Anolis sagrei: one gene and its partners. The protein of the gene in region 1 purifies or fractionates together with the protein of each later gene. This does not show direct contact. Links are inferred from orthologs where the notes say so. Each region holds a gene or a part of one and is shown in the gene's direction. Other genes may lie near its edges.

What was found.
Region 2: the proteins of BSG (region 1) and GNPAT purify together in Homo sapiens (affinity purification with mass spectrometry; 3 studies listed by BioGRID and IntAct, counting the BioPlex papers as one, with this or other methods). This does not show direct contact. The link is inferred for Anolis sagrei from reciprocal best matches to the Homo sapiens genes BSG and GNPAT.
Region 3: the proteins of BSG (region 1) and ATP2B4 purify together in Homo sapiens (affinity purification with mass spectrometry; 3 studies listed by BioGRID and IntAct, counting the BioPlex papers as one, with this or other methods). This does not show direct contact. The link is inferred for Anolis sagrei from reciprocal best matches to the Homo sapiens genes BSG and ATP2B4.

The regions. Positions count from the first base shown.
Region 1 is NC_090034.1:52,358,664-52,369,335, forward strand, and holds the start of BSG (basigin), read left to right. Parts: upstream 1-6,122; 5' UTR 6,123-6,188; coding exon 6,189-6,267; intron 6,268-10,672. Other genes in the region: CDC34 (ubiquitin-conjugating enzyme E2 R1), read left to right, coding at 2,245-2,455.
Region 2 is NC_090021.1:62,109,910-62,120,099, forward strand, and holds the start of GNPAT (dihydroxyacetone phosphate acyltransferase), read left to right. Parts: upstream 1-5,371; 5' UTR 5,372-5,452; coding exon 5,453-5,506; intron 5,507-10,190. Other genes in the region: C1H1orf131 (uncharacterized protein C1orf131 homolog), read right to left, coding at 129-481, 5,088-5,190. UniProt on the Homo sapiens protein: Dihydroxyacetonephosphate acyltransferase catalyzing the first step in the biosynthesis of plasmalogens, a subset of phospholipids that differ from other glycerolipids by having an alkyl chain attached through a vinyl ether linkage at the sn-1 position of the glycerol backbone, and which unique physical properties have an impact on various aspects of cell signaling and membrane biology.
Region 3 is NC_090024.1:191,986,036-191,996,676, forward strand, and holds the start of ATP2B4 (plasma membrane calcium-transporting ATPase 4), read left to right. Parts: upstream 1-6,128; 5' UTR 6,129-6,557; intron 6,558-10,641. UniProt on the Homo sapiens protein: Calcium/calmodulin-regulated and magnesium-dependent enzyme that catalyzes the hydrolysis of ATP coupled with the transport of calcium out of the cell. By regulating sperm cell calcium homeostasis, may play a role in sperm motility.

The DNA.
Region 1 (10,672 bases):
AGTGCTCTCTGGGTGTAGGTGAACTACAACTCCTATAAATCCACCCAAAGACTCTTTGTTGGTCATGAGGGTTCTGTGTCCTAAGTTAGTTCCAGGTCCATCATTGGTGGAGTTCAGAGTGCTCTTAGATTGCAGGTGAACTATAAATCCCAGTACCTACAACTCCTAGAAATAAAGATGAATTCCTCCCAAACTTCTCCAGTATTTTGCATTTCTCATGGGGGTTCTGTATACCAAATGTGGTCCAGGTCTATTGTCAGTGGAGGTCACAGTGGTGTGTCTTGATGTAGAGTGACCTACAACCTCTGTCATGTTGAGCCAGTTCCCCCTCCAGTATGTTCAGTTACTGATCAATTCCTCTGTTTGCTGTGCGCCATAGGAAAGAATAGGAAAGGGTTATGCGAGAGGCAGCGGGCGGGATCATGCAAATTCCACACCAGTGGAGAGAGGAACAAACACTGGAATGTCTGTGGTGGAGGAAACACATACAATCTAGGTGGAAATTGTCCCCGTATGAAAACCTTCACTTGGGTGGTGGGCAGTATGGCATTTGTGGAGGACATTGGCAGGGCTCTAGGACATGTTCACGGCACTCACTACAACTTGCAATGTCATTGGAGGGAGGGCCATTAGTGTCTCCTGAGTAGCTGTTTGAGGAGGTGGGAGCTTGTCTGTGTAAGTGGACACCCCAGCCAGATACAGATACATATTTTCACTTTTATTTTGTGTATAGATTAATCAAGTATTATTGTGTTTTAATTTATTTTGGTTAACTATTACTGAAGTTTTAGCATAGTAATTAAGGTCTATTTGTCCGTGTACCTTTGTTTTTGTCTTTCATTGTTGATATGGTCAGTGGACTCATGAAAAAAACAGATTTGAAATTTATAAAAAGGCGACTCAAGGCAGCTCACAATGAAACCAACACAATACAGTTTAAAACCTATGGTGTACAAACATGTCAAATAGAGTTAAGCATGAACAGTATTAAAAATAAGACAGTTAAAATCAATTTAAAAACTATTCATAGCTAGAACGTTCATGGGTCGATAGAGGTATGTTTTGTACGGGAGAGGAGATGGTCAACTGAGTACACCACCACCACCCTTGCCCTCCTGCATTTGACCCCGAGAAGCCAGAAGGATGCCGAAACTCTCTTGTATTAACATTGGATTCGGAGTCATTTGAACTTGAGAGTCAATCCCAATTGCAATGCCATTTCCCTTCTTTCTTCCATCTTTCTATAGTTCGTTAAGTGACTGAACCCAAAGGCTGCTCACTAATGATTCCACTTCATCCTGGAAAGAAGTGACAAGTAGAGTGCCATTAGCAGGGTTTGGTCTTGGCCCCGGTTCTGTTCAACATCTTTATTAATGACTTTGATGAAGGTTTAGGGGGCATGCTTCTCAAGTTTGCAGATTACACCAAATTAGGAGGGAGAACTAATACTCCAGAGGACAAGATCAGGATGCAAAAGGACCTCAACAAATTAGAGACCTGATTGGCCAAAATTAACAATATGAATTTTAACAAGGACAAACATAAGATACGACACTTAAGCAGAAAAATGAAATGCAAAGGCACAGAATGGGGGACTCCTGACTCAACAACAGTCCCTGTGAGAAAGATCTTAGAGTCCTTGTTGACAGGAAGTTGAACATGAGCCAAGAGTGTGATGCAGCAGCTAAGAAAGGCAAAGGGGTATAGTGTCTAGTTTGAGGGAAGTCATGGTGCCTCTCTATTCGGCTTTGGTCAGACCTATTTTCCCGGAATACTGTTCCAATTCTGGACACTATAGTTAAAAATAGATAAAGATGTTCAGAGGAGGACAACTAGAATGATGAAGGTCTGGAGACCATGAACCCCTATGAGGAACTGGGTATGTTTAACCTGCAGAAGAGAAGGTTGAGAGGAGACATGATCGCCATGCATAAATATGTGAAAGGATGGCATAAGGAAGAGGGAGCGGGCTTGTTTTCAATGGACTCAATGTAGCCATGTGTTCAAATGACAGGAAAGTGATTCCACCTGAACATGAGGCGGAACTTCCTGACTGTAAGAGCTATTGAGCAGTGGAACTCTCTGCCTCAGCATCTGGTGGAAGCTCCTTCCTTGAAAGCTTTTTAAAGTACCATCTGTCAGGAGTACTTTGATTCTGCTTTTCCTGCATAGAGGAAGGGGGTTGGACTAGATGACCCATGTGCTCTCTTCCAACTCTAGTGTTCTATTATTCTTTCCTGGCAGGAAGCAAGTGCTGGGCACAAAGGCAGAGGCCGAGCGGGATGGCGTCAAGGTCCCCACCACGCTGGCAGAATACTGCGTCAAGACCAAGACCCCGGCGCCAGACGAGGGCTCGGACCTCTTCTATGACGACTACTATGAGGACGACGAGATGGACGACGAGGTGGACAGCTGCTATGGCGACGAGGATGATTCCGGCAATGAGGAGTCTTGACAAGGAGGACCCCCTTCCTTGCCCCTTTCCTCCTTCCCCCCATTCCCTTTTGCCCCCTTCCAACGCTGCCTCCTCCTCCTGCTGCTGCTGCTCCTGATAGTAGCAATAAACTATCTGACTCTTTTACTTGAACCCAGGATGGATCCGGCTGAGGCTTTGGAACCCCTGTTTGCCCCGAATTGAAATGAGAGAGAATGAGAGAGAGAGAGAGAGAGAGAGAGAGAGAGAACTCTACCTCAAAAAGGGAGACTTGGTTTCTGCTTGAAGTGGCTGGGATGGGGAGGGAGGAATTCTTTCTTTTTTAGGGGGATAGATTGACCATTTGGCTTTTGGTTTAGCGTTTGTTTTGTGTTTTGTGCAGAGGAGGAGGAGTTAATCATAGGGATTTTTGAGAGGGATTGTTGATTCCCCAGGTGTTTCATTCTCGGTCGCATTGAGACGAAGCACCAAGACGCAGCACTGGGTGTTTTGAACGTTTTTGCTTCCATTTATTTTTTAAAAAACATTTATTACACTATAAGACTTTAATTCTGAATGAGGGGCATCTGAGCTTGCGGATGGAAAGGCACTAAGAGAACCAGAGCACCCCTCCTTCCATTAATTGGTGTTTTCCCTTTTTTTAGAAATGTGGGAATTACAGAGTCCGGTTCCTCACTCAGCCACTGGGAGGCACTGCTTGGCCGTCTTTCCACTGCATTGTCTTTTCACTTTGGGAATGTTTGCGTCCCCTTCAGAATGACAAGAAATGGAGATATTTTTTTTGCGAACATGGGGGGGGGTGCCTTTTCTTTGTAACAATCGTTTTGGGGGGTTTATTTTGCTTTTGTGGTTTTGTTCCGTGTTTCGGGGGAGTTTGGGGTTTAATTGGTTTCTCCCTCTTGGTTTTGAAGCTATTTAATAAAAAGGACTTTGAAAGGAAAGTGCCTTTTGGGGTGGCAGCCTCGCAAACAGCTTGCTTGTGAAGTCTGACTTCAAAAAGTGGTGGGAAAGTTACTTTTCTGAACGGCTTTGAAGTCCCAAAACATAGATTGGGCTGCGGAGAGCAGCCTGGTCCATGGAACGTACTTTTTGTGTTTGATATGTTCTTGATCTTCATCTCCGATGGTGTACTACAGCTATTTAACCTCAGCAGACTGAAAGCCAAAACCAAGTTCACAGTAACATCTGTTATAGAACTCCAGGATGCTGATGATAGATAGCATAGTCTGTACACATTCAGAAGAAGACCTACAAGCCATTCTAAACACCTTTGCAGAAGCATACGAGAAGCTTGGCTTCTCATTGAACATCAAGAAAACCAAAGTGCTTTTCCAGTAGTCACCAGCCAATCCCTCTGCAATGCCAGAAATACAGCTGAATGGTTTAATGTTAGAAAATGTTGACCATTTCCGCTACCTTGGCAGCCACCTCTCCACAAAAGTCAACAGTGACACTGAAATACAACACTGCCTGAGCTCTGCGATTGCAGCATTTTTCCGAAGGAAGCAGAGAGTGCTTGAGGATTGGGACACCCGTAGGGAGACCAAGGTGCTTGCTTATAAAACTTGTTGTCCTCCCAACTCTATATGCCTGTGAAACGTGGACTGTCTACAGATGTCACACTCAACTGGAACAATTCCTTCAGCATTGCCTCCGAAAAATCCTGCAAATCTCTTGGGAAGACACGCAGACAAATGTCAGCATGCTGGAAGAAGCAAAGACCACCAGCATTGAAGCGATGCTCTTACGCCATCAACTCCACTGCTGGTCACATCCGAATGTCCGATCACCGTCTCCCAAAGCGGTTACTATACTCCCAGCTTAAGAATGGAAAACAGAATGATGTTGGACAGGAAAAGAGATTGAAAGGTGGGATTAAAGCTAACCTTAAAAACTGGCATTGACACTGAAAACTGAAGCCCTGGCCCTTGAGCGCTCTGACTGGAGGTCAACTGTGACCAGCAGTGCTGTGGTATTTGAAAAGACACAAATGGAGGGTGAAAGGAAGAAATGTGCCAAGAGGAAGAAGGCATATCAAGCCAACCTTGACCAGGACTGCCTTCCACCTGGAAACCGATGCCCTCATTATGGAAGAACATGCGGGTCAAAAATAGGGCTCGACAATCACCAATGTATCCAATGCCCAGAAACTACACTTACCTTTTTATTTATTTATTTGGAGTGCTTCTACCCCGCCCTTCTCAACCCCCTAGGGGGGGACTCAGGGCGGCTTACAAAAGGCACAATTCGATGCTCAACAATTCACAAAATACAATATACAATTTACAATATAACGATGACAGTTATAACTAATTAAAACAGTCAAATTAAAACAACAAGAGCAATAAAATCATCTTGTGGTCAACGTTCATCAATTCATAAATCCATAATCCATCTAGCAATGTCATTGTCCTTTCTTACTCTGGTCGTCATTGTCTTTTATCCATCTGCCAGCTTACCCAAAGGCCACCTGGAAGGCCATCATACCCAGACAACGAAGGATCGCCTAAGTAAGTACAGCTCCTATCATCCCCAGCCTGTGTGGCCTTATGGTTGGCGTAAACTGTTCATACAGACGTATCGATACAAAGGTATAATCCCGTTCCAACTTGTAACAATTCCCTCTCTTCATAATTTTCCAGAGTAGAGATAAATTTGCTCAGGGCCAGATTAAGGTCAAAGGTGTAAAAGAGTTCCTAAAAACCAGTGGGGGCCTCAGAGGGTATCTGGTCCAACCCTGATGGAGGGCCATCCCATTCTTCTAACGGTCACAAGGAAATGGCAAGCAAATAGACTTGGCCAGGCTTTGTATTGTGAAAAATAGATATTTAAAAGTATATAAACATATAATTTGTATAATTTATAACAAATATTAATACAGAGTACAAATATTAAGGGTTGGCTTTAGCCTGCAGCTAAATTATATATTTTACAGACATATATATTATATTAATAATATGTATTATATATATATAATTATTATAATGCTATATAATATAAAATATATTATATTAAATGTATATACAGACATATATATTATAATAATAATATGTATTGTATATATATAATTATTATAATGCTATATAAAATATATAATTTAGCTGCAAGCTAAAGCTGACAATATGTATGAGTTTAAACTTTTGCAGATGAGATGATATGATAGTCTGCTTTCCTCTTCTAAAGTGGCTGCGGTCTCTTTAAGAATCTGAGTCCTCTAGTGCTATTTACATGAGTAGGTGGGGCTCGTAGTTAGCTCGCACGTTTCATTGGTTTTGGGTAACGCCAGTCGTGAGAATCGGCGCCACGATTGGCCAGTGCCCGTGCTTGACGTAGATGGCAGCGACCGCCTCTTGTGTGTGTGTACGTGACCTGGTGTAGTAGCCTGAGATGCCTTGCGGGAGTGACTTCGGTTTCCGGCCCGTCCTGCCTCCTTTAATCTTTCCTATAGGTGGCTAGCTTGTCGATCAAAGGCCCTTTGAAGCCCCGCCTCCCACCGGGCAGGCTAAAGTATCTGATTGGCTGGGGTTTTTGACGTCACCCTCTCCCCCTTCTTGCCGTCCTCAACCGTCCTTCCTCGCGTGCAATCGGATTGGCCCGCTTTCTCGGGCGGTGGAGCCAATAGCGGCGCCTCTCGGGGCTCGCGCCCGTCGGCCATTGGCTCTTCCTCGGTTTCTCCGCCTCCGGGGGGTTACCAGGCGTCCGCCATTCCTGAGGAGAGGAGCAGAGCGACGGAGCGGCAGAAGCAGCGGGAGCCATGAGGGCGATGGTGGCGAGAAGGCTGGTGCTGGCCTTGGGCGCCTGGCTCTGCTGTGCGAGCGGCGCCTCGGCCGCGGGTAAGAGGTCCAGGCAGGGAAGGAAGGAGGCGCCGAGGCGGAAGGGCTTCCATTCCTGAAGGGAAATATAAGGCTTCGAGGGGACATTTCATATTCTGAGGGGAAATTAAATATTCTGAGGGGGAAATTTCATATTCTGAGGGGGGGGGGGGAGTAATTTTCGGAGAGAAAATTTCATATCCTGCGGGGAAATTTCATATTCTGAAGGTGAAATATAATTGTCTGAGGGGAAATTTCGTACTATGAGGGGAGAATTTAAAATTCTGAGAGGAATATTTGTATTCTGTGAGGGGATTTCATCTTCTGAAGTTGAAATATAATTATCTGAGAAGAAATTTCATATCTTGAGGGGGGAAAATTATATTCTGAGAGGAACATTTCATATTAAGAAGTTGGAATATAATTTTCTGAGGGGGAATTTCATATTCTGAAGTGAAAATGTAGTAACCTGAGAAGAAATGTCATATCCTGAGGGGGAAATTTCATATTCTGAAGGGAAATTTTATATTCTGAGAGGGAAATTTCATATCCGGGGGTGGAGATTTCATATTCTGAAGGCAAGGCCTCTTTAAATTGGGTTTCAAAATCCTCAAATAAAAGGATCTTTGCTCCGATAGCAACATTTAAATAAAAGGATTTTCCCCAGATTTCCTCCATATTCACATACATATACAGGCGTTCCCTGTATTACAAACATCCGACTTACAGTTAAGAACAAGGGTGAGACAAGAAGTGAGAGAATCTACTCCTTGGAAGGGAAAGCCACTTCTGAAAGAATTATCAGGGGGAAAAGGGGTCTCCACTGAATCTTTAGCACCAATCCTTGTTTCCACGTCAAGCCAAATTATCAAAAATCCAATCATCACAGGGACGGGAAGTGGGGTGAAATCTACTGAACAAGGGCACAGACAGAAGGATAACCCCACCTGAGAAGGGATTTCATATCCTGTGGGGAAAATTCTATTCTGAGAAGGAAATTTCATATTTTGAGGGGGGAAGGCAATATTCTGAGAGGGAAATTTAATATCCTTAGGGGGAAATTTAATATTTTGTGGCAGGAATGTAATATTCTGAGAGGAAATTAAATATTTTGAGAAAAAAATAATATCTTTAGGGGGAAATTTCATATTCTGAGAGGAAAGTTCTTATTCTGAGAAAAAAATATATATCCTGAGATGGAAATTTCATATCCCGAGGGGCAATTTCATATTCTGAGTGGGGAAGGTAATACTCTGAGAAAAAATTAAATATCCTGAGAGGAAAATTCCATATTCTGAAGGTGAAATATAATTATCTGATAATCGATTTTATACCATGAGGGGAAATTTTAAAATTCTGTGAGGAATTTTTGTATTCTGAGGGGTGGAGGGGATTTCATATTCTGTAAGCGAAATATAATTATCTGAGAAGAAATTTTGTATCCTGAAGGGGAAATGTTATATACTGAGGGCTAATTTTAAATTCTGTAGGTAAATTTAAAATTCCAGGAGGAAATGTCTTATTTTGAGGGGAAATGTCATATTTTGAAAGTGAACTATAATTATCTGGGGGGAAATTTCATATCCTGAGGGGAAAAATATAATTATTTGAGAAGAGATTTCATATCCTGAGTGGGAAATTTCATATTCTGAGGGTAAATCTAAAATTCTGAGAGGAAAATTCTATTTTCTGAGGTGGAAATTTCTTATCCTGAAGGCAAAATATAATTATCTGATAATAGATTACATATCCTGAGGGGAAATTTCTTATCCACAGGCAAAATCCTGAGAGCTAATTTGAAATTTGAGGGGGATCTTCAGTCTCTGAAGTTTTCATTTCTAAGGGGAAATTCAGGAAATTCACTGTTTGGAGGGGACATTTCCTCAGGGTCTTTATGTCATTGGGAAGTGAAACGGAAGACGGATTTTTATATATATATTAAACTCGCTGGATTCGTATTACGAAGAAAGGATTCACAGAAGGGCGTCCATTTAGCAACATTTAAATAAAAGGATTTTCCCCAGATTTTACCAGGGAAGATGGGGCCTCCATATTCACATACATATACAGGCATTCCCTGTATTACAAACATTCGACTTACAGTTAAGAACAAGAGTGAGACAACAAGAAGTGAGAGAAATCTACCCCTTGGAAGGGAAATCCACTTCTGAAAGAATTATCAAGGGGAAAAGGGGTCTCCACTGAATCTTTAGCACCAATCCTTGTTTCCACGTCAAGCCAAATTACCAAAAATCCAATCATCACAGGGACGGGAAGTGAGCTGAAATTACTGAACAAGGGCACAGACAGAAAGATAACCCCACAGGGTGTTAACCCTTCCCTATGCTATCCAGAGCTAAAGGATATATATGGATATATATATATATATATAGTTAAAAATGTCCCTTTTCAGACTTGCATACAAATTCAATTTAAGAAGAAACCTACAGAACCTATCCTGTTCATAACTTGGGGACTGCCTGTATAGCATAATGCTTAATACAGCCAGCCCTCCATAGCCATGGACTTTGCACCCACAGATTCTGCTGAAGAATTTTTTCTTAAAAAAACCACACAATCATAGACTTTGGAAGAAACCCCAAGGGCCATCCAGCCCAACTCCATCCTTACATGCAGGAAGACCGAATCAAAACAGTCCTGACAGATGACCATTCAGCTTCTGCTGAAAAGCCTTCAGAGAAGTAGACTCCACCGACACCAAGAAGGCATATTCCACTGCCGAACAGTTCTTCCCATCAGGAAGTTCTTTCTAATGTTGAGGTGGAATCCCTCTTCCTGGGGAGATTCCAGTCTTGGAACTGGGAACAGGTAGCGGGAATGAGAGCACCGCTGTCCTGTGCTGTGCTTTTTGGGCAAAGTAAGTAGGGTCTTGTAACTGGAATAATGAAGGGAGTGAGGATGAGAAGGCTGCCCTATAATATGATGTGGGCTAAGCAGAGCAGTAGGAAGAGAGAGCTGTTTCATAATGAGAGGAGTGGGAGAACAACAGGATAAAACAGCCCTGCAATGCATTATGGGACAGGGATTGATCATACAGCTAAGGGGAGTCACTGTTTTACAAGCCTTAGTCATAGAATCATATAACCCTAGAGTTGGAAGAGACCCCCAAAGACATCCAGTCCACCGCCCTTCTGCCATTCAGAAACACACAACCAAAGCACTCCCAGCCGATGGCCATCCAGCCTCTGCTTCAAAACCTCGAGAGAAGGAGACTCCACTGGATTTCCAGGCAGCATATTCCACAAACGGTTCTTACTGTCAGGATGTTCTTCCTAATGTTGAGATGGAATCTCTTTTCCTATAGTTTGAAGCCATTTCTCCATTGTATCCAGCAGAAGAACAAGCCTACTCCATCCTTAATGTAATATCCTTTCAAATATTTAAACATGGCTCTCATGTCTTCTCTCAGCCTTTTTTGCTCCATATAGCTAAGCATGCTCATACTGCCTGGATTGTGATAATAAGGATCAGGCAGATACCCGAAGTATTCTTTGCTTTGAAGAATCTACAGTCTAAATATCAATCCTTTGGAGATGGAAATACAAATACATGTAAAGCATTTGTAATATTAATAATGGAAGATAAGCCCTCAGTATCATCTCTATTATAATCAGTGTGGTAAACAGAGGATTCTTGTGTTGCAGAAATCTCTTCATAGGTGGGCTGCGGGGGAGGGGGGTGGAGGCAGCAGCACATCACTTTGGCATGTGTAGAAACAGATGCATTACGCACATGCCCTTTATGTAATCCTTGTTGTGAGTGGGCCACCCTGAGAGGGAGAGGGGGACGTGCTAGATTGGCTCTGATTGCTGCAAGCCTCTCCTGGCTTGCACTCTGCTTTGTGTACTAATGAATAGCAGTTTGGTGATTTGAAAGAAAGGCAAGGCTTGCTCCGATAGGGAGGCCATGAGGGGACAGTGGGCACTCAGATTCGCCTGGGCTCTTCCTTTGGGGATCCTAGTTCTGCCCGTCATTCCTGCTACATCCTGAGTTTTGCTTCTTATGGATGCTTACATTATTTCATTGTGGACTCATGTGATGGAATCCTCCTTCATAAGAGAACCTTTGAAAAAAAAAAAGGAAGGGATGCATAGTCCCAGATTTTGGACAGAAAGAACATTGTGGGAGCAGGGGTTAAAGAGACCAGTCTTGGGGAGTTAGATTTCCCTTCAGTTGTAATAAATCTATATAAATAAAAATGTAATGTTCATTTGTGGGATAAACATAACTCAAAAACCACTAGACGAATTGACACGAAATTTGGATGCTATACCTCTAACCGGCCAACGAGTGACCATCACTCATAACCTCCCCCCAAAAAAGCGGAAAGGACTTAAAACCCCCAAAAGCTAAATGACGGAAAGCTAAATGACTATACAGAAAAAAAAGGGAAGGAAGTAAAGAG
Region 2 (10,190 bases), on another chromosome or scaffold:
TTTACCACCTTTTGCCAGCAATTCAGCATAGGTAGGTGGGCAGGTTGGCTAGTAACTCTTGAATGTTTTTTTCAAGAAAAAAACTTAGCTATTCACTTTTCTGCTACTGCATATCATGTGAATCTTACCTTGGAGCAATCAATTTCAGGAGCTTCAAGTTTAACTTTCTTCTTTCTGTGTCGACCATGGAATGTCACCACTTCAATATCTGAAGCATTTTCCTGCTGAGCAGGTTTCTGTGTGGTCGTATTTGGGGATCTACATTCTGTTGCATTGTTGTTCTTATTAATAAAGTCAGATACCCATTCATTTTTCAGTTCTTCAAAGAAGTCATTTTTCCTTTTGTTTGATACTGCTGTGCCAGACTCAAGAGTCACCCTTTTGTCTTCTGATTGATTATTGTTGGAAGTCATTGCGAATTTCTCTTGTGAGTTTTTCTTTTTTCTCTTATTCTTTTTATTTCCATTTAGCAACGATTCACCTAGAATTTGAGATAAAATTGTTGTAAATCTCATTTAACTCAGCCATATAATTGGAAGGATTCCTGATGGGGTGTGCTTCTGTCTGTCAGCTCCAGCTTCCCATGAGGGGACATGAGAAAAGCTTCCCACAGGACGATAACACATCTGGGCATCCCCTGGGCAACGTCTCTGCAGACAGCCAAATCTCACATCAGAAGCGACTTGAGTTTCCATATTGATAAAGGATTTTTGAAATACAATAGCAGCCATCCATGTCACATAACAAACCAGGAGATATAAACATGTTTTAAAACTGTCTAGCAGGCCTTTGGATTCTAACTACTCATAGATAACAACACCTGGGAAAGATGCAAAGAAAGGTGGCATGGCCAAAGAATCAGATGTGGGTGGCTATGAATAGGAATTATGGATAGAAACTATGCATAGGAGTCAGGAACTGATTACAGAGATGTATATCATATAACAGAAGCCATGTCCAGATGCAATGAATAGATTGAAAGGTTAATTTGATAAAGGAAGAGTACTGAAAACCCACAGTTCAGGTAGATGAGATCACTTCTCTTTCAAGTACAAAGACAAGGAGATATGATGCTGAGATAAGCCATGGATGCGTGGGGTTCAATATTACTGCTGTTAATAAATACCAAGCAAACAGGAAATAGATACTGTATCTTACTTTAGAGCTGTGTTACTAACTGTTGCGACTTACAGAGAGTGGTCAACCCTCCTGTTTAAGGAGCTCCACTGGCTGCCATTCATTTTCTGGTCCCAATTCAAGGTGCAGGTTCTTACCTACAAAGCCCTGAACGGTTTGGGACCCGCCTACCTGCGTGACCGCATTTCTGTGTACGAACCCACACGATCTCTTCGATCATCTGGAGAGGCCCTGCTCATGCTCCCACCTCCTTCGCAGGCGCAATTGGTGGGGACGAGGGAGAGGGCCTTCTCAGTGGTGGCCCCCCGACTCTGGAACCCACTTCCCAGGGACATTAGACATGTGCCAATGTTGGCAGTCTTTAGGAGGAGCCTGAAAATGTGGTTGTTCCAGTGTGCCTTCCCAGAATAAGGAGAACTCTCAGCAATATGTCCTAATATGCACTTTAATACTGACATAGGATGGACTGTACTCCCTCATTTCTCTCCGAAAAATCCTATCCTTGTTATATTTTACCTTGTTCACATCAGCATATTTTCAATTTTAATCTATTACATTTGGCCCAGCCATTTTTAAAATTGTTTATGTCACTATTGATTTTTTTTGTTTATGTGATTTATATGATTGATGTTGTGCTTATTGATGTTTTGTTTGATGTACTTTGGGCTTGGCCTCATGTAAGCCGCACCGAGTGCCTTGGGGAGATGGTAGCGGGGTACAAATAAATATTATTATTATTGTTATTATTATTACAAGGGCAGATTGTATCAACCTACATTTTAGGAATTTTATAATTTTCAAAATTTTAAAAATGTATTGAGATTTTTATGCAGTTATTATACTTGTCATTGTATTTATACTTATGTACTGTTGTCTGCATGTGGCACTTGGAGTGCTTCTGTGAGCCACTCTGAGTCCCTTTGGGGAGATGGTGGCGGGGTACAAATAAAGATTATTATTATTATTATTATTATTATTATTATTATTATTACCACCTCTGGTCAGATTCCAAACCATTTGATCTAGGTCAATCCTTCAATCTTATTAATAGGAGTGAATAATAGTGTAGTGTAGACATATCCAACCACTGTTTTAACCAATAACAGAAACAGGATTCACAGCCTTAGTAGAACTGAATTGAAAGAGCCAAATCCTTTCTCACCACCATCATCAACAGATCTCTGATTGGGTCATGGAAGCTGGAAGAGACTAACACTGCATATTATCACAAACAAATAGACCAGAGCTTTCCAAACCTGCCATGATGATGACACACTTCTTAGGCATGGCTCATTTCACAGCAATCATTCGGTTTTACTAGCAAACTGGAGGTTAAACCAATCCCTTATAAGAAATAAGTGCACATACATACACTGTAACAACAAAATGTATAGGGATACAACATTACTTATGAAAACTTTTCATTTATATGTTTTTAAAATTAAGATATTTTTGTTAAGCCTACATTTCTAAGATGTTGTGTCATGTCTCGTCACATTTGTGTGACACACCTACACACTGCAGCCAACACACTAGCATGTCGTAATACATGGGTTGGAAGGCTCTGAGACAGACACTGTGGCTAAGGGCTGTTCCTAGCACTGTCCTGCTAGAGGAAGAAGCACAAAAAACCATTAACGTGAAGCACTGAAAGACCACCTGGAACTGTTGTAAAATGTTTGCTCTCTGCTTTTTAGCCAAAAGCATCAGGCATCACACCAAAAATCAGATTGAGAGTGCATCTACACTGTAGAATTAATGCAGATTGACACCACTTCAACTGTCATGGTTCAATGTTATGGAATCCTGGGAGCTGTTGTTTTACAAGGTCATAGAATCACAGAATAATAGAGTTGGAAGAGACCTCCTGAACCATCCAGCCCACCCCTGCGGAGAACAGGAAAATCACATTCAAAGCACACCTGACAGATGGCCATCCAGCCTCTGTTTAAAAGCCTCCAAAGAAGGAGCCTCCATCACACTCCAGGGCAGAGAGTTCCACTGCTGAACGGCTCTCTCTGTCAAGAAGTTCTTCCTAATGTTCAGGTGGAATCTTCTTTCCTACGGCCATTTTACACAGCCCTATATCCCAGAATATCAAGGCAGAAAATCCCACAATATCTGCTTTGAACTGGGTTATCTAAGTCCACACTCTGATAATGTGGGATTTTCTGCCTTGATATTCTGGGATATAGGGCTGTGGAAGGGCCCCTAGTCTCCAGGGCAGCAGAAAACAAGCTTGCTCCCTTCTCCCCGACTTCCCCTCACATATTTAGACAGGGCCATCACTTCTCTCAGCTTTCTTTTCTGAAGGCTAAATATGCCCAGCTTTTTAAGCCATGCCTCATAGGGCTTGTTCTCCAGACCCTTGATCATTTTAGTTGCCCTCCAGCTTACCAACATCTCCCTTCAATTATGGTGCCCAAAATTGGACACAGCATTCCATTTGTGATCTGACCAAGGCAGACCAAGGTTGTCCCATGATGGCACCTCACGCTATGCTACAACTCCCAGGATCCCATAGTGTTAAGGCAGGGCAGTAATCCGCATGGATTCAATGCTTTGGAATGAATTTTTTTTTCATGTCAGGAGCGACTTGACAAGTTGCTTCTGGTGTGAGAGAATTGGCCCTCTTCAAGGACGTTGCCTAGGGAACGCTTGGAGGTTGTGATGTTTTACCATCCTTGTGAAAGGTTTCTCTCATGTCCCTTCATGGAGAGCCGGAGCTGACATAGGGAGTTCATCCGCACTCTCTCTAGATTTGAACCTCTGACCTGTCGGTCCTAAGTCCTGCCAGAACAAGGATTTAACCCATTGCGCCACTGGGGGCTTGATTTGGAATGATGGGATCTGTAGTTTGTTGAGGTACCAGCACTCTTGGGCTGAAAAGGCTAAAAGATCTTGTAAAACTACAACTCCCAGGCAGTTTCTGGAGTTAGGTGAGCTTAAGCACAGGGCCTCGTAGGGATGCCAAAGTGCTTGTTTATAAAGCTATTGTCCTCCCAGCCCTGCTATATGCCTGCGAAATGTGGACTGTCTACAGGCGTCACATGTAACTCCTGGTACGATTCCATCAGTGGTGCTTCCGGAAAATCCTGCAAATCTCTTGGGAAGGCAAGCAGACAAATGCCAGCAAACTGGAAGAAGCAAAGACCACCAGCATTGAAGCGATGGTCCACCGCCATCAACTCTGCTGGACTGGCCACGTTGTCCGGATGCCTGACCACCTTCTCCCTAAGCAGTTGCTCTACTCCGAATTCAAGAACGGAAAACGGAATGTTGGTGGACAGGAAAAGAGATTTAAAGATGGGCTCAAAGCCGACCTTAAAAACTCTGGCATAGACACTGAGAACTGAGAAGCCCTGGCCTTTGAGCGCTCCAGCTGGAGGTCAGCTGTGACCAGCAGTGCTGCAGAATTTGAAGAGTCACGAATGGAGGGTGAAAGAGAAAAACGTGCCAAGAGAAAGGCGCAAACGAGACCGCCTTCCATGTGGAAACCAATACCCTCACTGTGGGAGAAGATGCAGGTCAAGAATAGGCCTCCACAGTCACCTACGGATCCACAAGAATACTGATCCTGAAAGACTATCCTACTCATCCAACGAGGGATCGCCTAAGTAAAGTAAGTTGATAGCAAACATGGGCAAACTTTGGCCCTCTGGGTGTTTTGGATTTTAACTACCGGCTGTTAGGAATTGTGGGAGTTGAAATCCAAAACACCCAGAGGGCCAAAGTTTGCCGGTGCCTGGTCAATACTCTAGGTAGGAGAGTGTGCCACAAAGCAGGCGGTGTAGGCCTAACAGGCCTTCCTCCTTCTGGGCCCAAGGAAGGGCCTTCAGGACTGAAGTGTCATGGGGCCTGCTTGGTCCTCAACCTGGGATTCCACAGCACTGCATTGACAGGACAGGTTCAATCCCAGGCATCAGAAAGAGGCGGAGGCCGAGACGCACCGAAGTCGTAGAGGGAGTCCAAGGCGCCGCGGAGGAGGCGGGCGGCGGAGGCGGAAGGCTCCTGCTCGCCCTCCTCTGTCTCCTCTACTGTTCTTCTGGCCATGCTGCTCTTCGCTCCACCAACGTGAGGGCGGAAAGACAACACCAGACGGAGGAGGAAGGGGAAGAAGCGTCAAGGCGAAGGATTTTGGTCCCGCGCGACCACCGTCGCAGCGAACATGGCGGCGCCCACAGAGCACTTCCGCTTTTCTTCCCCTACTGACTGAGGGACTGCCTCCCTCTCTTCTTCCTCCTTCCCTCCGGGCTGGGCTCGAAGGCCGCCGCCGAGGGAGCCGCGTAGGGAGGACTGCTGAGCAGGCGCGGAGATGGCGGCGGCGGCCGGGGCGGTTGCCCGACGACGGGGGCCGCCCGTGTACTCGGTAGGGGCCTTTTCTTTCCGCCCAAATCCAGGGCCCGAGCGGGAGGGAGGGGAGAAGGCGGGGGAGGGCGAGTGCGCGGACCCTCTCTCTCTGTGGAGGCAGGCGCCGCTTTCCACTGTGGCTTCACACCACAGCAGGGATCTCCAGCACATTTTTAGCCTTGCCTTGGGTTCTCCTTGGGTACAGAGGGACAACTACGATTTTTGTACACAGTGGTCCGTCCTCTTTAATTTTTACCCGGAGATGTTATTAAATACAACTCCCACCACTTTTGATTACTATCTGGGGATAATGGGAACTGCAACCATAGAATCATAGAGTTGGAAGACACCTCGTGGGTCATCCAGTCCAACCCCCTGCCAGGGAAATCGCATTCAAAGCACCCCCGACAGATGACCATCTAGCCTCTGTTTAAAGCAGGAAAATCGCATTCAAAGCACCCCCTTCCTGCCTCTGTTTAAAAGCCTTCAAAGAAGGAGCCTCCACCACACTCCAGGGCAGAGAGTTCCACTGCTGAACAGCTCTCACAGTCAGGAGATGGAATCTCGTTCCCTATAGTTTGAAGCTTTGCGTCCTGGGTTTCCAGGGCAGCAGAAAAGAAGCTTGTTCCCTCTTCCCTATGATTTCCCCTCACATGGCCAGTCAGGAAGAACTTCCTAACTGTGAGAGCCGTTCAGCAGTGGAACTCTCTGCCCCGGAGTGTGGTGGAGGCTCCTTTGGAAGCTGTTAAACAGAGGCTGGATGGCCATCTGTCAGGGGTGATTTGAATGCAATATTCCTGCTTCTTGGCAGGGGGTTGGACTGGATGGCCCATGAGGTCTCTTCCAACTCTTTGATTCTATGATTCTATGTCTCCTCTCAACCTCCTCTTCTGCAGGCTAAACATGCCAAGCTCTTTAAACCGCTCCTCATACGGCTTGTTCTCCAGACCCTTGATAGAATCATAGAATCATAAAGTTGGAAGAGACCTTATGGGCCATCCAGTCCAACCCCCTGCCAGAAAGCAGGAAAATCGCATTCAAAGCACCCCCTACAGATGGCCATCCAGTCTCTGTTTAAAAGCCTCCAAAGAAGGAGACTTCACCACAATCCAGGGCAGAGAGTTCCACTGCTGAACGACTCTCATAGTCAGGAAGTTCTTCCTCATGTTCAGATGGAATCTCCATCCCTATAGTTTGAAGCCATTGCTCTGCGTCCTGGGTTTCCAGGGCAGCAGAAAACAAGCTTGTTCCCTCCTCCCTATGATTTCCCCTCACATGGCCATCATGTCTCCTCTCAACCTCCTCTTCTGCAGGCTAAACATGCCAAGCACTTTAAATCGCTCCTCATACGGCTTGTTCTCCAGACCCTTGATAGAATCATAGAATCATAAAGTTGGAAGAGACCTTATGGGCCATCCAGTCCAACTCCCTGCCAAGAAGCAGAAATATTGCATTCAAAGCACCCCTGACAGATGGCCACCCAGCCTCTGTTTAAAACCTTCCAAAGAAGGAGCCTCCACCACACTCCAGGGCAGAGAGTTCCACTGCTGAATGGCTCTCACAGTCAGGAAGTTTTTCCTCATGTTCAGATGGAATCTCCTTTCTTGTAGTTTGAAGCCATTGTTTCGCGTCCAAGTCTCCAGGGAAGCAGAAAACAAGCTTGTTCCCTCCTCCCTGTGACTTCCTCTCACATATTTATACCTGGCTATCATATCTACTGTCAGCCTTCTCTTCTTCAGGCTAAACATGCCCAGCTCCTTAAGCCGCTCCTCATAGGGCTTGTTCTCCAGACCCTTGATCCTTTTAGTCGCTCTCCTCTGGACACATTCCAGCTTGTCAATATCTCTCTTCAATTGTGGTGCCCAAATTTGGACACAGTATTCTAGGTGTGGTCTAACCAAGGCAGAATAGAGGGGTAGCATTACTTCCCTAGATCTAGACACTATGCTCCTATTGATGCAGGCCAAAATCCCATTGGCTTTTTTTTGCTGCCGCATCACATTGTTGGCTCATGTTTAACTTGCTGTCCACGAGGACTCCAAGATCTTTTTCACATGTACTACTCTTGAGCCAGGCATTTTCCCCATTCTGTATCTTTGCATTTCGTTTTTTCTGCCTAAGTGGAGTCTCTTGCATTTGTCCCTGTTGAACTTCATTTTGTTAGTTTCGGCCCATCTCTCTAATCTGTCAAGATCGTTTTGAATCCTGCTCCTGTCCTCTGGAGTATTGGCTATCCCTCCCAATTTGGTGTTGTCTGCAAACTTGATGATCATGCCTTCTAACGCTTCATCTAAATCATTAATAAAGATGTTGAACAGGACCGGGCCCATTTTAGTTGCCCTCCTCTGGACACATTCCATCTTGTCAATGTCTTCTTTCAATTGCAGTATCCAGAATTAGACACAGTGGGATTCCAGGTGTGGTCTGACCAAGGCAGAACAGAGGGGTAGCATGACTTCCCTGGACACTAGACTCCTATTTATGCAGACCAAAATCCCATTGGTTATTTTAGCTGCCACATGACATTGTTGGCTCATGTTTAACTTGTTGCCCATGAGGACTCCCAAGATCTTTTTCACATGTACTGCTGTGAAAAAGATATTGTGGTCCTCACTTCTATACTGTATAACTGAACCCAACTGCACCTGTGGATCTGAAGTTAAGGAAAAGTTAAAGGACTTTTTTAAAGTTAGGTATAATATCCATAGGACAAAGAAAAAATAATGGATCAATTAAGAAACAAAATTAAGTATTTGGGAGTCACAATACCTGTTAATTACTTAGAGTTAAAAAATAAATTTTGATAGACTAGTTAGGAAAATCTAAAAAAGACTATTGGAATACAAAAAAAAATCTCTCATAGTTTGGCAGAATAGGCATTTTTAAAATGAAAATATTATCTAAATTTAACTTATTTTGTAATATGTTACCCATTAAATTGCCACATGTTGATCTTAAAAAAATGGCAGAAATTAGTCAGTGGATTTTGTAATGGAAGTAGAAGATCTAGGCTATTGAGAGGCTTATGGTATATTTCTCAGAAATTAAGGGGACTAGGAATACCAGAATTTAAAACTTACCATCAGACACATATAATAATTCTACAAATGTATACATAGTGGCTTGTAAAACAATTAAAATAATCATAATAAAAATATAAAACAATTAAGAATAACATAAAATGGTATAAAAACAAACATCAGTTTTAAACGTTTTTTTCATGAGGATCAAGTGAAGGTTGCAGTTCCTCAGGGGAAGAGCAAGGCCCTTGCACTCTCGCCTGCCAGCTGTTAGAAGCTATTATTTAATCTCTTGATTGAGATGCAAAGTGGCTAACAGTGTTACAAGTGCAGTTTAAAATCCGCATTATACATATATTAGAATCATAGACTAATAGAGTTGGAAAAGACCGCATGGCCATCTAGTCCAATCCTCTGCCATGCAGGAAAAGCACAATCAAAGCACCCCTGACAGATAACTTTCCAGTCTCTGTTTAAAAGCCTCCAAGGAAGGATTTTTCACCTCACTCCGAGGCAGAGTTCCACTGTTGAACAGCTTGTTAAAATAGAATTGAATTAGTCAGCTAAAGTTCCTCCAAATACCAGTCTCTGTTCAAAGACAGGTGTAGTGCATGTGTTAGTCATTGGGTGCCAAACATGCTTCTTGGGCTGTGGTCTTGCCATGTGTGGACAATACATGTTGAGCATCATTTATCTAAAATACGTGGGAGCAGAAGGTGTTTGGGATTTTGGATTTTTTTTCTTCAGATTTTGGAATACCTGTTTTTGAGATATCTTGGAGTTGAGAGCCAAGTGTGAATACAGAATTAATTTATGTTTCACTTCCTTATGCATCAAGGTAATTTTTATGCACAACATTTTAAATTATTTTATGCATGAAACTGTGTGTTCACTGAACAATTAAAAAGCACTCTGCCATCCATATTAACAATTTTAGAGTACTTTTGGATTCCACGTAAGGGATGCTCAACCTGTAGTTGAATGGAAGACAGACAGGGGAGAGAAGGCATTGTAAAAGTTATTTTTCAGAGGAAGACAATAGTACTTCGCCTCTTAAATTTGCTACATTAAAAAAAAATCTGAAATTCATGTCATAGATCGAGAAGCATCTTGAAGACACGTGTACACACACTTTAAATATGTATTTATAGTTTGAACTCCCAGACCCATTTGTTTGGCATTCAGCAACCATTTTAGGATTGTATACCACTATTTGAACATTCTCTATATATCTCCAAGAAAGCCTTTCTGTTAATAATGCCACCATCTAAGGCATGTCTGGTAGGGTGAGACTGGGACTTCTTTGTAGCAGATTTGTGCCCTTCCATTAACAGACTTTTTTTTCAAATCCATTTGGGACACTGTATGGCTACCCAAGAAGGCGACTTTAGGAGGTTTGCAATGTGGGGAAACATAGTGAGATCACTGCTTTTGTTTTGGGTGGAACCGTTTTCTTTCTTTCAGGGTATGTTGCAAATGTTATCCAAGAAGCAAATGGTCTTCCCTATCCACTTGCAATCCTGGTATTGCTACAGACAATCATTAGAACAGTGTTTTCTTGGAATTCTACACTGCTCTGCTGACATTTGCATTTATATGTTCTTGTTACAATATTGCAAATACTTAGTTTACATTTTAAAAACTTCCAAACTTCTGTTTCTTGGAAGGATAGGAGGTGCTTTC
Region 3 (10,641 bases), on another chromosome or scaffold:
GTGGAGCACTTAGGACACCGCAAAGCATAGTCAGGGGCTCTGTGGCAGGCTCATACTCCCCACCCACCCCAACCCTCATCTAGGAAGCACACAGGACCTCCACATTGTCAGCAGTGATGCTGCCTACAAGGCTTCTATGTCTGTGCTGCCAGTAGCGTGGAGGCCCCATAGGCTGCGTCGCCAGCAGTGGAGGCCTCATAGGCTGTGCTGGTGCTGGAAGTGTGGAAGCCCCATGTGCTTCCTAGACAGGGAAGCAAGGCTTCCCAGCTGCTGCTTTGACTGTGCTTTCTCTGCAAGGCAGAGGGAGGTTGGATTGGGTGGCCCCTGGGTTGCTCCTCCTCCTCCTATTATTATTATTATTATTATTATTATTATTATTATTATTATTGCAAGGTCTGAATGAGGACCACCAATGAGTACCATGTACTGTAGCCTATATTTCAGAGGAAGGAAATGGCAAAAGCACCTTTGAATATTTCTTGCCTAAGAAAACCTTATCAAATTCATGAGGTTGCCATAAATCAACAGGAAACTTCAAGGCAAATACATGCATTCTTAAGACAGCTTTCTTTTACAAGATGGACCATGAAGATGTTGTGAAGAAGCCAGGTATGCTCCTTCCTAAAACAATATAGAACTACAATTCCCACTTATTATTTTAAACTACCATCAAGATGGCTTTGACTTATGGTGACCCCTTGAATGAGAGACTTCCAAGTCACAACATCTCCATCTATTCAGGTCTTGCAAACTCACAGCTGTGGTGGTATCCCTCCACATAGAAAACAGACTTCCTCTATTCGTCCTGTCTTCAATCTTACCAAACATTACTGCCTTTTCTAGTGAGTCATGTCTTCACACTCTATAACAATCTCAGTTTAGTCATCTTGGCTTCTAGACAGAGTTCAAACTTGATTTGCTTTGGGGCCCTTTTATTCATCACATATTTTCTCAAACTCCAATTCAGCTCCACATTTAAAATGAATTGATTTTCTTCCTACCACACTACCATTTATTCTTTTCTTGACAATTTTCTGGTATAAAGACATATGGTGGGTGGGTGGTAGAATCAACAGAATCCCACCTCCTCCTCTTCATCTTCTCCTTCTACCTTTTCTTTAGAGCTGTGGCATTGAATAATGGCCCACAGCATCCACACAAGCTAACCTCTCCAAAGTTTCTCATGCTTCCCATTCTTTGCTAGCACCTCATTGATCAATGAAATCTTAGAATCATACAGTTGGAAGAGACCATACAGACCACTCACTTCAGCCCCTGCTATGCAGGCAAAGCACAATCAAAGCACCCCAACAGATGGCCATCCAGCTGTTGAGTGATTTCAGTTCTGCAAGTATCACAGATTCAAACGTCCACAGGTTCAGAAGTCCAGTGTGTAAAGTTCCCCAAAGGACCAAACAAAACAGAGTCAGGATGAAGACTTTATTCTCCTTTGGTCAGAAGAGTCTGTCAGTAAAGTCTGCACTCCAAAGACTGACATAACTCAGTGTAAACATACAGAAATATTTATAGCATTTGACATCGGTCAAGATTGTGACCAGCTCGTATCTGCTCCCTGATAGGACTAGGAGTGCCATCCTGCGTAATTGTTGATTGCCCCCAGGTATGAAAGAAATTTAATAAATTGTCATTGCTCAGTTTGAAGTCTTGTGTCTGTTTCTCATTCCGCCTTTCATGACAGTAGGGAGGAAATAATATGAGTGAATCAGAGGTAATGGGATTTGATGGCTCTGCTCCTGTCTGGCCAGAACAGGACAATGGGTTTTGACTGACCATACAATGAGTGCTGAGTATGTTGGCACTCTTTGAATGGGATTCCCAGGGAGGGGATCTGATCTGGCAATCGGGATGAGGAAATGTTCCCAGGAAAATACTGAGATAAAATCTGGAAAGAACCCTGTGGCTCTTTCTGAGTTCCAGGGCATTGTGAAGGGAGTAGGGTTATTCTTAATGTTGAGCCCTGCCCTGCAGTGTGGGGTGTGTATGTAGTGCTTATGCAACTATTGGTGAGTTAGGGATCCTGGTGTTTCGATAACACAGCCTCTGTTTAAAATCCTCCAAAGAAGAAGCCATCACTGGTGGAGTTTCACTGTTGAAAAGCTGCTACAGTCAGAAAGCTCTTCCTAATGTTCAGGAGGAATCTCCTTTCCTATAACTTCAACCCATTACCTGGAATCCTATGACTTCATCATATATGCTGCCGAAATTGCCACAGATCATGGTGAATCTGACATTGCCCAGCAGGGGGTATCCGTTGCCCCACAACCTGCATCACCCAACTTCCCCCCTACCTCATCCTATGGGGGGGAAGTGCTTGCCACCCAACTTCCCCGTTGATCCCAATGCAACACAAGAGCCTCCCATGTTGACACATTGGCGGCATATGCTGCTTCCTCTTCGGTGTTGTGACGGAGCCCCGCCAGAAGTGCTTCCAAGTCATGTGGTGGGATCTGACAGACTCAGTCGCAAAACTGCAGAGGAACTGGAGTATCCCACCGAAAATAGCCCCAAATTATGAGGTTGTTAGTTTCCAGGGCAGCAGAAAACGAGCCCACTCCCTCTTTCTTGTGACATCCTTTCAAATGTTCAAACATGGCTATCTTAACTCTTCTCAACCTTCTCTTCTGCAGGCTAAACATGCCAAGTTTTAAAACCACTCCTAATAGGGCATTGCTCCAGACATTTGATCATTTTAAGTGTTTTCCTCGGGACACATTCAGCTTGTCAATATCCTTCTTGAATGGTGGTGATCAGAACGGGACACAGTATTCCAGGTGAGGTCTGACTAAAGCGGAATAGAGGGACACCACAACTTCCCTTGATCTAGAGGCTTGGTTTCCAACATGGGGAACATGCCCCACAGGGGGGCAATTTGATTTTTAAAGGGAGCTATTCGAGAATGAGTTAATAACAGTGAATGTTTTGCATTGTCTAGGGGCCTTGTATAGTAAAGGTTTTCCCGACAGAAAGTCTAGTTGTGTCCCACTCTGGGTAGTGGTGCTTATCTCAATTTCTAAGCTGAAGAGCTGGCATTGTCCGTAAACACCTATGAGGTCATGCAGCCAGCCTGGAGCGCTGTTACCTTCCCATCGTAGCAGTACCTATTGATCTACTCACATCTGCATGTTTTTGAACTGTTAGATTGGCAGAAGCTGGGGCTAATAGTGGGAGCTCACACCACTCCCTGGATTTGGACCACCAGCCTTTGTCAGCAAGTTCAGCAGCTCAGTGTTTTAACCCACCGCGCCAATGGGGGCCTCATATATACACTATATAAGTATATATTGTGACATACACATTTTAAAAATGTTGTAGTGTTTTCTTCCTCAGAAGTTCAGCTGTCATTCTGTTCTTTTATTTTTCTCTTTCACGAATGTCATGTTCTTTGGAAGCTTGTTTAGACCAAGTTAATGGCCTTTTAGGCTTCCTCCGTGTGAATAGGAATTTACTTTTTGAATAAGAATTACAGTAGAGTCTCGCTTATCCAACCTTCGCGTATCCAAAGTTCTGTATTAACCAACGCAGTCTGCCACCCACAGGGATTCACAGGTGAGGAAAATGGAGTGTATGTTTACTTGTGGAATAATGACCAGGGTGGGAGAAAGAAAGAACCCTTGCCTGTTTTGGTGCTAAATTGGTCAATACGGTAATTACTACATAATGTTACTGTGTACTGAATGGCGTTTTCTGTCGATTTGTTGTAAAGCATGATGTTTTGATGTTTAATTTGTAAAATCATACAGTGGCCCCTCGCTTATTGTGGGTGTTATGTTCCAGGACCATTCACAATAAGTGTAATTCCGTGAAGTAGGGACACCACCTCCCCTTCCCTCCTCGCCCTCTTTACCTTCTTCTGCCTCCTCGTCACCATCTGGGCCTCTTATCACTGCTTGGGCCCTGCAACACCTCCGCTGCCTCCTCAATCGCAGGGCCCAAGCGGCAGCAAGAGGCCCAGGTGGGGAGGAGGAGGAGGAGGAGGAGGAAGGTAAAAAGGGCAAAGGGGCAGCTCTTCTTCCCTCCTCGCCCTCTTTACCTTCCTCTTCTTCCTTCTCATTGCTGCCTGGGCCTCTTACCACTGCTTGGGTCTCGCGACACTTCCTCAATTGCAGGGCCCAAGCGGCGGCAAGAGGCCCAGGTGGAAATGAGGAGGAGGAAGAGGAAGGTAAAGAGGGCAAGGGACCACTGTAATGTAATTTGACATTTCATAGGCTTTTCCTTAATCCCTTCTTATTATCCAACATTTTCGCTTATCCAACATTCTGCCAGCCCGTTTATGTTGGATAAGTGAGATTCTACTGTATAGGTAGTCCCCATGTTACAAACATCTGACTTACAAATGACTCATAATTAGGAATGTGGGTGAGACAAGAAGTGAGAGAAATCTCACCCTCAGAAAGGAAATTCACTTCTGAAAGAGTTATCATAGGGATATCTCTGCTGATAATTATTTATTTATTGTGTCATCAGCAACCAGACATTTGTATTACATTTTTAACAAAACAAACAAACAGACAGACAAAACACAAAGTTTGCAAGCTTGGTAGTTGATTAAATGTCCTTTGACCAGTATCTGGCCACTTGGAGTGCCTCTGGTGTTGCCGCAAGGAGGTCCTCCATTGTGCATGTTGCAGGGCTCAGGTTGCATTGCAGCAGGTGGTCAGTGGTTTGCTCCTCTCCACACTCGCATGTTGCGGATTCCACTTTGTAGCCCCATTTCTTAAGATTGGCTCTGCATCTCGTGGTGCCAGAGCGCAGTCTGTTCAGCGCCTTCCAAGTTGCCCAGTTTTCTGTGTGCCCAGGGGGAGTCTCTCATTTGGTATCAGCCACTGGTTGAGGTTCTGGGTTTGAGCCTGCCACTTTTGAACTCTCGCTTGCTGGGGTGTTCTATGCTGATGCTTTCTCACAAATCCTTGTTTCCAGAAGACAAATTTCAAAATCCAATTATCACAGGGACAGAAAGTGAGGTAACATCTTCTGAACAGGGACACAGACAGCAAAGCAAACACTACAAGGGTGTCAACACTTCTCTGTGCTATCCAAAACTTATACATAAAGTATATATATTTGGCTGGAGTTACACTTTAAAATGTACCTGTTCTGACTTACATACAAATTCAACTTAAGAACAAATTTGGGAACCACTGAATCATAGAATCATAGATTTGGAAGAGACCTCATGGGCCATCCAGTCCAACCCCCTGCCAAGAAGCAGGAAAATTGCATTCAAAGTACCCCTGACAGATGGCTATCCAGCCTCTGTTTAAAAGTCTCCAAAGGAGGAGCCTTCACCACACTCTGGGGCAGAAAGTTCCACTGCTGAACAACTCTCACAGTCAGGAAATTCTTCCTCATGTTCAGATGGAATCTCCTTTCTTGTAGTTTGAAGCCATTGTTCTGCGTCCTATTCTCCAGGGAAGCAGAAAGCAAGCTTGTTCCCTCCTCCCTATGACTTCTTCTCACATATTTATACATAGCTATCATGTCTACCCTCATCCTTCTCTTCTTCAGGGTAAACATGTCCAGCTCTTTAAGCCACTCCTCATAGAGCTTGTTCTCCAGACGCTTGATCATGTTACTCGTCCTCTTCTGGACACATTCCAGCTTGTCAATATCTTGCTTCAATGGTGGTGCCCAGAACTGGACACAGTATTCCAGGTGTGGTCTAACCAAGGCAGAATGGAGGGGTAGCATGACTTCCCTGGATCTTGACACTAGACTATTGATGCAGGCCAAAATCCCATTGGCTTTTTTTAGACACTACACTTCTTTTGATGTAAAACCCCATTGGCTTTTTTAGTTGCTGCATCCCACAACTTGTGGTCTTCTAAGCCTCCAAGAGGGTCGTTTCCCCCCTTCCCTTCCCTTCCTTTCACGTGGGTTCCCCTCGAGGCGCCGCCATCTCCTCCTTTCCCCCTTAAAAGGGAAGCCAGGCACAACCAGGAGTCGGTTGAGCGCGAAACCACCTTAACAGCCTCGCTGCCTCCCTTTTGCGAAGGACGGGGCTGAGTCTGTGGCAGGGCTTGGCTGCTGCGTTGCCATGACGAGCTTTTCCTCCAAGCAGGCGGGACTCCGCTTGGGGAAAGGCTGGGTTTGAAAAGAGAGAGAGAGAGAGAGAGGCGGGGAGGGGGACAGGCGGGGGGACCCACGGCGCTGCGGCTTCGCAGAGTTTGAAGGAAACCCAAGAGGAGCCAGCCTCTCCTTTCCTTTCTCCTCCCAAACTCGGAGCGGAGGAGAGCCGCGGTCCGAAAGCGCTGCGCTTCCTCCCAGGCGCCCTCTCCTCTGCTCTGCTCTCCCCTCCTCCTCGTCCTCCTCCTTCCCGCCCCCTTCCTCCTCCTCCTCCTCCTCCTCCTCCTCCTCCTCCTCCTCTATGGAAATCCAGGGGTTTTCCCCAGCCTGTGGCAGACTAGAGGACTGGAGGCGGAGGAAAGGCAGCGGGAGCAGCAGCAGCAGCAGCGCGTGAAGCGGCTCAGCTTCTCTTCTGGGGCCGTGAAGTTGGGCAGCGGCTGGGCGGGTCGCCCTCTTCGTCTCCCAGAGCCCAAGTAAGCCGGGGAGGCTCCCCAATCCCCCTTTTCTCTCGCTTGACTTGTGGGCTCTCCGGGTTTGGGGATGATGGGAGGGGAAGCCAGGGCGGGGAGGCTGCGGCAAAGACTCGATTCCTGTCCTGGAGGGAGGCCGGGTGGGGACGCAGGGAAGGAGGGAGGAAGGAAGGAGAGGCCCGCCTCGGGAGGGACAAACAACAGCAGCAGCAGCCAAGCCCTGCTTGGTGAACCGCCTTCGTCCCGGGCTTTCCGCTTCAGGAAAGTGTGATTTCCCCGGGCTGGGCGCGAACGAGGCGTGGAAAAATCAGGGTGTTCCCTGCGTCCGGTGCGAAATTGCCGACGAAGAGGGAATCTTGGGCGGAGGAGAAGGAAGGGGAGGGGAAAGGAAAGGAGGCGGACTCGGGCCCAAATCATGCAGTGCAGACCCACATCATGGAGTCCCTTCCACGCCGTTGTATGAGTTGTGTGGTCAGTGCAGGAGAGGCGCCCACTCTGCAGGAAACAAGTCCACACTGAGCATACAATGCGTGGTTTTTGGAGAGGCCCCTTCCTTCCCTTGTGGGGAGAAATAACCCCTCGCCCCAGACTGTGGAGTTTCTAAGCGCCCTTCCACACAGAATATCAAGGCAGGAGATCCCACAATATCTGCTTTGAGCTGGGTTATCTGAGCCTAATGTGGGATTTTCTGAGATATAGGGCTCTGTGGAAGGGCCCAATGGGGTTGGGTTGCTGTGAGTTTTCAGGGCTGTATGCCCATGTTCCAGAAGCATTCTCTCCTGACGTTTCACCTACATTTATGGCAGAGGTTGAGGGGTCTGTTGGAAACTTAAGTGAGGTTTATATATCTGTGGAATGCCCAGGGTGGGAGAAAGAACTCTTGTCTGCTTGGAGGTACGTGTGAATGTTGCACTTGGTCACCTTGCTTAGCATTGAATGGCCTGCTGTTTGAAGGCAGTTTCAACCCCTTTCGTAGAGGTTTATTTTTTCTTAGAGGAGCCCCCTCCCCCCCCGTGGAGCAAGTCCTCACCCTGGAGTTACCCCACATCGGTCTTGATCACTTCGGTCGTCCTGCTCTCATTTTTTTTCGTGTCAAGAGCGACTTGAGAAACTGCAAGTCGCTTCTGGTGCGAGAGAATTGGCCGTCTGCAAGGACGTTGCCCAAGGGATGCCCGGATGTTTTTGATGTTTTTACCATCCTAGTGGGAGGCTTCTCTCATGTCCCCGCATGAGGAGCTGGAGCTAGCAGAGGGAGCTCATCCACGCTCTCCCCGGATTAGAACCTGCGACCTGTGGGTCTTCAGTTCTGCCAGCCCAAGGGTTTAACCCATTGCACCACCTGGGCCCCTTCTCTACCTAGGGCACATTCTTCCAGGTGAGGCCTGCCCCAAAGCAGACGACGACACCCACTTTCTCTCTCTCTCTCTCTCTCTCCCGCCCGGCTATTCCCAGCACAGTCACCCGATTCTTCCTCTCCTTTGGGCAGCACAATGCCGGGTCTGTGCCTTTTGCGAGGGCAGTTTGGGGCGTGGAGTGCGAAAAGGGAGCGCCTTTTCCGGCCCGGTGTGTTTGCCCTCGTCTACACTGGAGGACGAGCGCAGTTTGGACCCTTCCCCGCTGGAGGATTTGGTACAATGTATCGTCGAAGCCTTTCATGGCTGGAATCACTGGGTTGTTGTAGGTTTTTCGGACTGTATGGCCATGTTCTAAAAGCATTCTCTCCTGACGTTTCGCCTGCATCTATGGCAGGCATCCTCAGAGGTTGTGAGGTCTTACAGACCACATAACAGACCTCACAACCTCTGAGGATGGCTGCCATAGATGCAGGCGAAACGTCAGGAGAGAATGCTTCTAGAACATGGCCATATAGCCCGAAAAACCTACAACAACCCAGGATTTGGTACAGTTTGGCCAGAGGGAGGCGTGGGCTCTCCCAACGCCTTCCTTCTGCAGCGGAGGGGCAACCCAAAGGTGTCTCTGACCCAGAATGGACCCTTCTGGACCCCACTTCTGTGGCTCGAGGTTGTGGCGTCCCCGGGGGGGGGGGGGGTTGTCCTTTTGGTGAAGCCGAGAAGGCTGAGTTTGGACTTTCTGAAACCGCGCTTCCCGTGATCCCACAGCATCGAAGTGGTGTGTCAGAATGAATGGATGTACCCCACTACAGTGCTCATATCATGCAGAATCAAAACTGCTTTCGGTAAAGGTTTTCTCCTGACATTAAGTCTAGACTCGGGGAGGGGGGGGGGGTTGGTGCTCATCTCCATTTCTAAGCCAAAGAGCCGGCGTTGTCCGTAGACACCTCCAAGGTCATGCGGCCGGCGTGACTACATGGAGTGTCGTTACTTTCCCATCAAAGTGGTACCTATTGATCTACCCACACTGGCATGTTTTCGAACTGCTAGGTCGGCAGAAGCTGGGGCTAACAGCGGGAGCTCACGCCGCTCCCTGGATTCAAACCTGAGACTTTTCGTTTATAACTGCATTATAGATCCACCCTGAGTCTCCTGTGCCACACTGACCAATGGGCTACTGGCTGGCAGCTCGACAGGTCGGGGGTGGGAGAAGGAGAGAGAGAGCTAGCTTGCTGAATGCTGCTTTGGAGGGGCGCGGCTGAAGGGCGCCGAGCCCTCGCCTTCTCTACACATTGGGATCCTCAGCATTTAGGGTGTTTTAGGGGCGGAGGAGGAGGAGGATGAAGGGGGGAAGACTTCAGAGCCTGTGGAGGAATGTGGCGCCACTGCGGAGATCGGAGGGAGGGGGAGCGGGTGGGCTTCCTCTGGGAGTCGGGCAGCCGAGGAAGGCGCCTCCCAGCCTCCCTTAGCCGCCTGGGGCGGAGCAAGGGCGAAAGGGACGGATGGGAGACCGTCTGCTTCCTCTGCCCAGGTGAACTAGAAGCCAGGAGTGATGGGTTGGGGTTTGTTTGTTTTTTTGAAAAGGGGGGGGGGGGAGAAAACCATCCTGGTCGAACTTGTTCTGCTGCCCAAATGTGCTCCTCGGTTGAGCGGAATCTCTTCCACACCCCATTCCTCCCTAGTCCTTTTTTTTTTTCTCTTTTGGTACTTGCTAATATACTGCCAGCCTAGCAGCTCAAAAACATGCAAATGCTAGATCAGTTGCTTACCACTTTGGCAAGAAGGTAACCTGCTCTCCAAGCAGTCATGCTGGCCACATGACCTTGGAGGTGTCTATGCACAACGCTTAGAAATGGAGATGAACACCAGCCCTCAGAGTCCAACATCAATGTCAAGGGAAGCCTTTGCCCTTACCTTTGAATATGCGGCCCACTCAGGAGGAGTTGCTGTTTCTCTTTCCCCTTTCCTCCCCACATAAACCGCTTAATTGCAGGAAAAGAGATTACAGATTCTAGGAGCAGTTGTCAAGGGTGGTGGTTGTGCCTTTCGCCCTCCACTGATTACGAGGCTGAGGACGTCAAAGGACCCTATAAAACAACAACAACCTTGAACGTTTGTGCTCAAAAGACAAGGAGGGGTGGGAGAGGATCTGTGACTCTGGCCTTCTGTTGTTACAGCACTGCTTCTTAAACTGGGCCCTGGCCCCAAATGGGGTCTCCCTCGTTCAGTGTTGGGCTCACTAAAAATGTTTTCGGTAAATGGGAAAGGTTTCCGAACACCACCTTGACATTTACACAAATCTTTTCAGCAACAAGGTGCAGTGTTTATAGTGGACTCTACAGAAATTGCTTCAGCTGGACTCCACAAAGAGAAAAACCAGCCTGTTTAGTAAGCCTTGCAAATGCTGGTTTATTATCAGTACATGTTTGGTTTTTATTCTTGTATTATGTATTTGAGCCCCTGGTGGTGCAACGGGTTAAACTGATGAGCTGCTGGACTTGCTGACCAAAAGGTTGGCAGTTCAAATCGGGGAGTGGGGTGAGCTCCCGCTGTTAGCCCCAGCTTCTGCCAAACTATTTATTTATTTACTGTACTTATACCCCACCCTTCTCACCCCGGGGGGTGGGGGCACTCAGGGCGGCTTACAAACTATGGCAATAATTCATTGCCAGACTCTGACAGTAACTATAAAACATTATTAAAACTGTAAAAACCCATACAAATCAATTATAAAT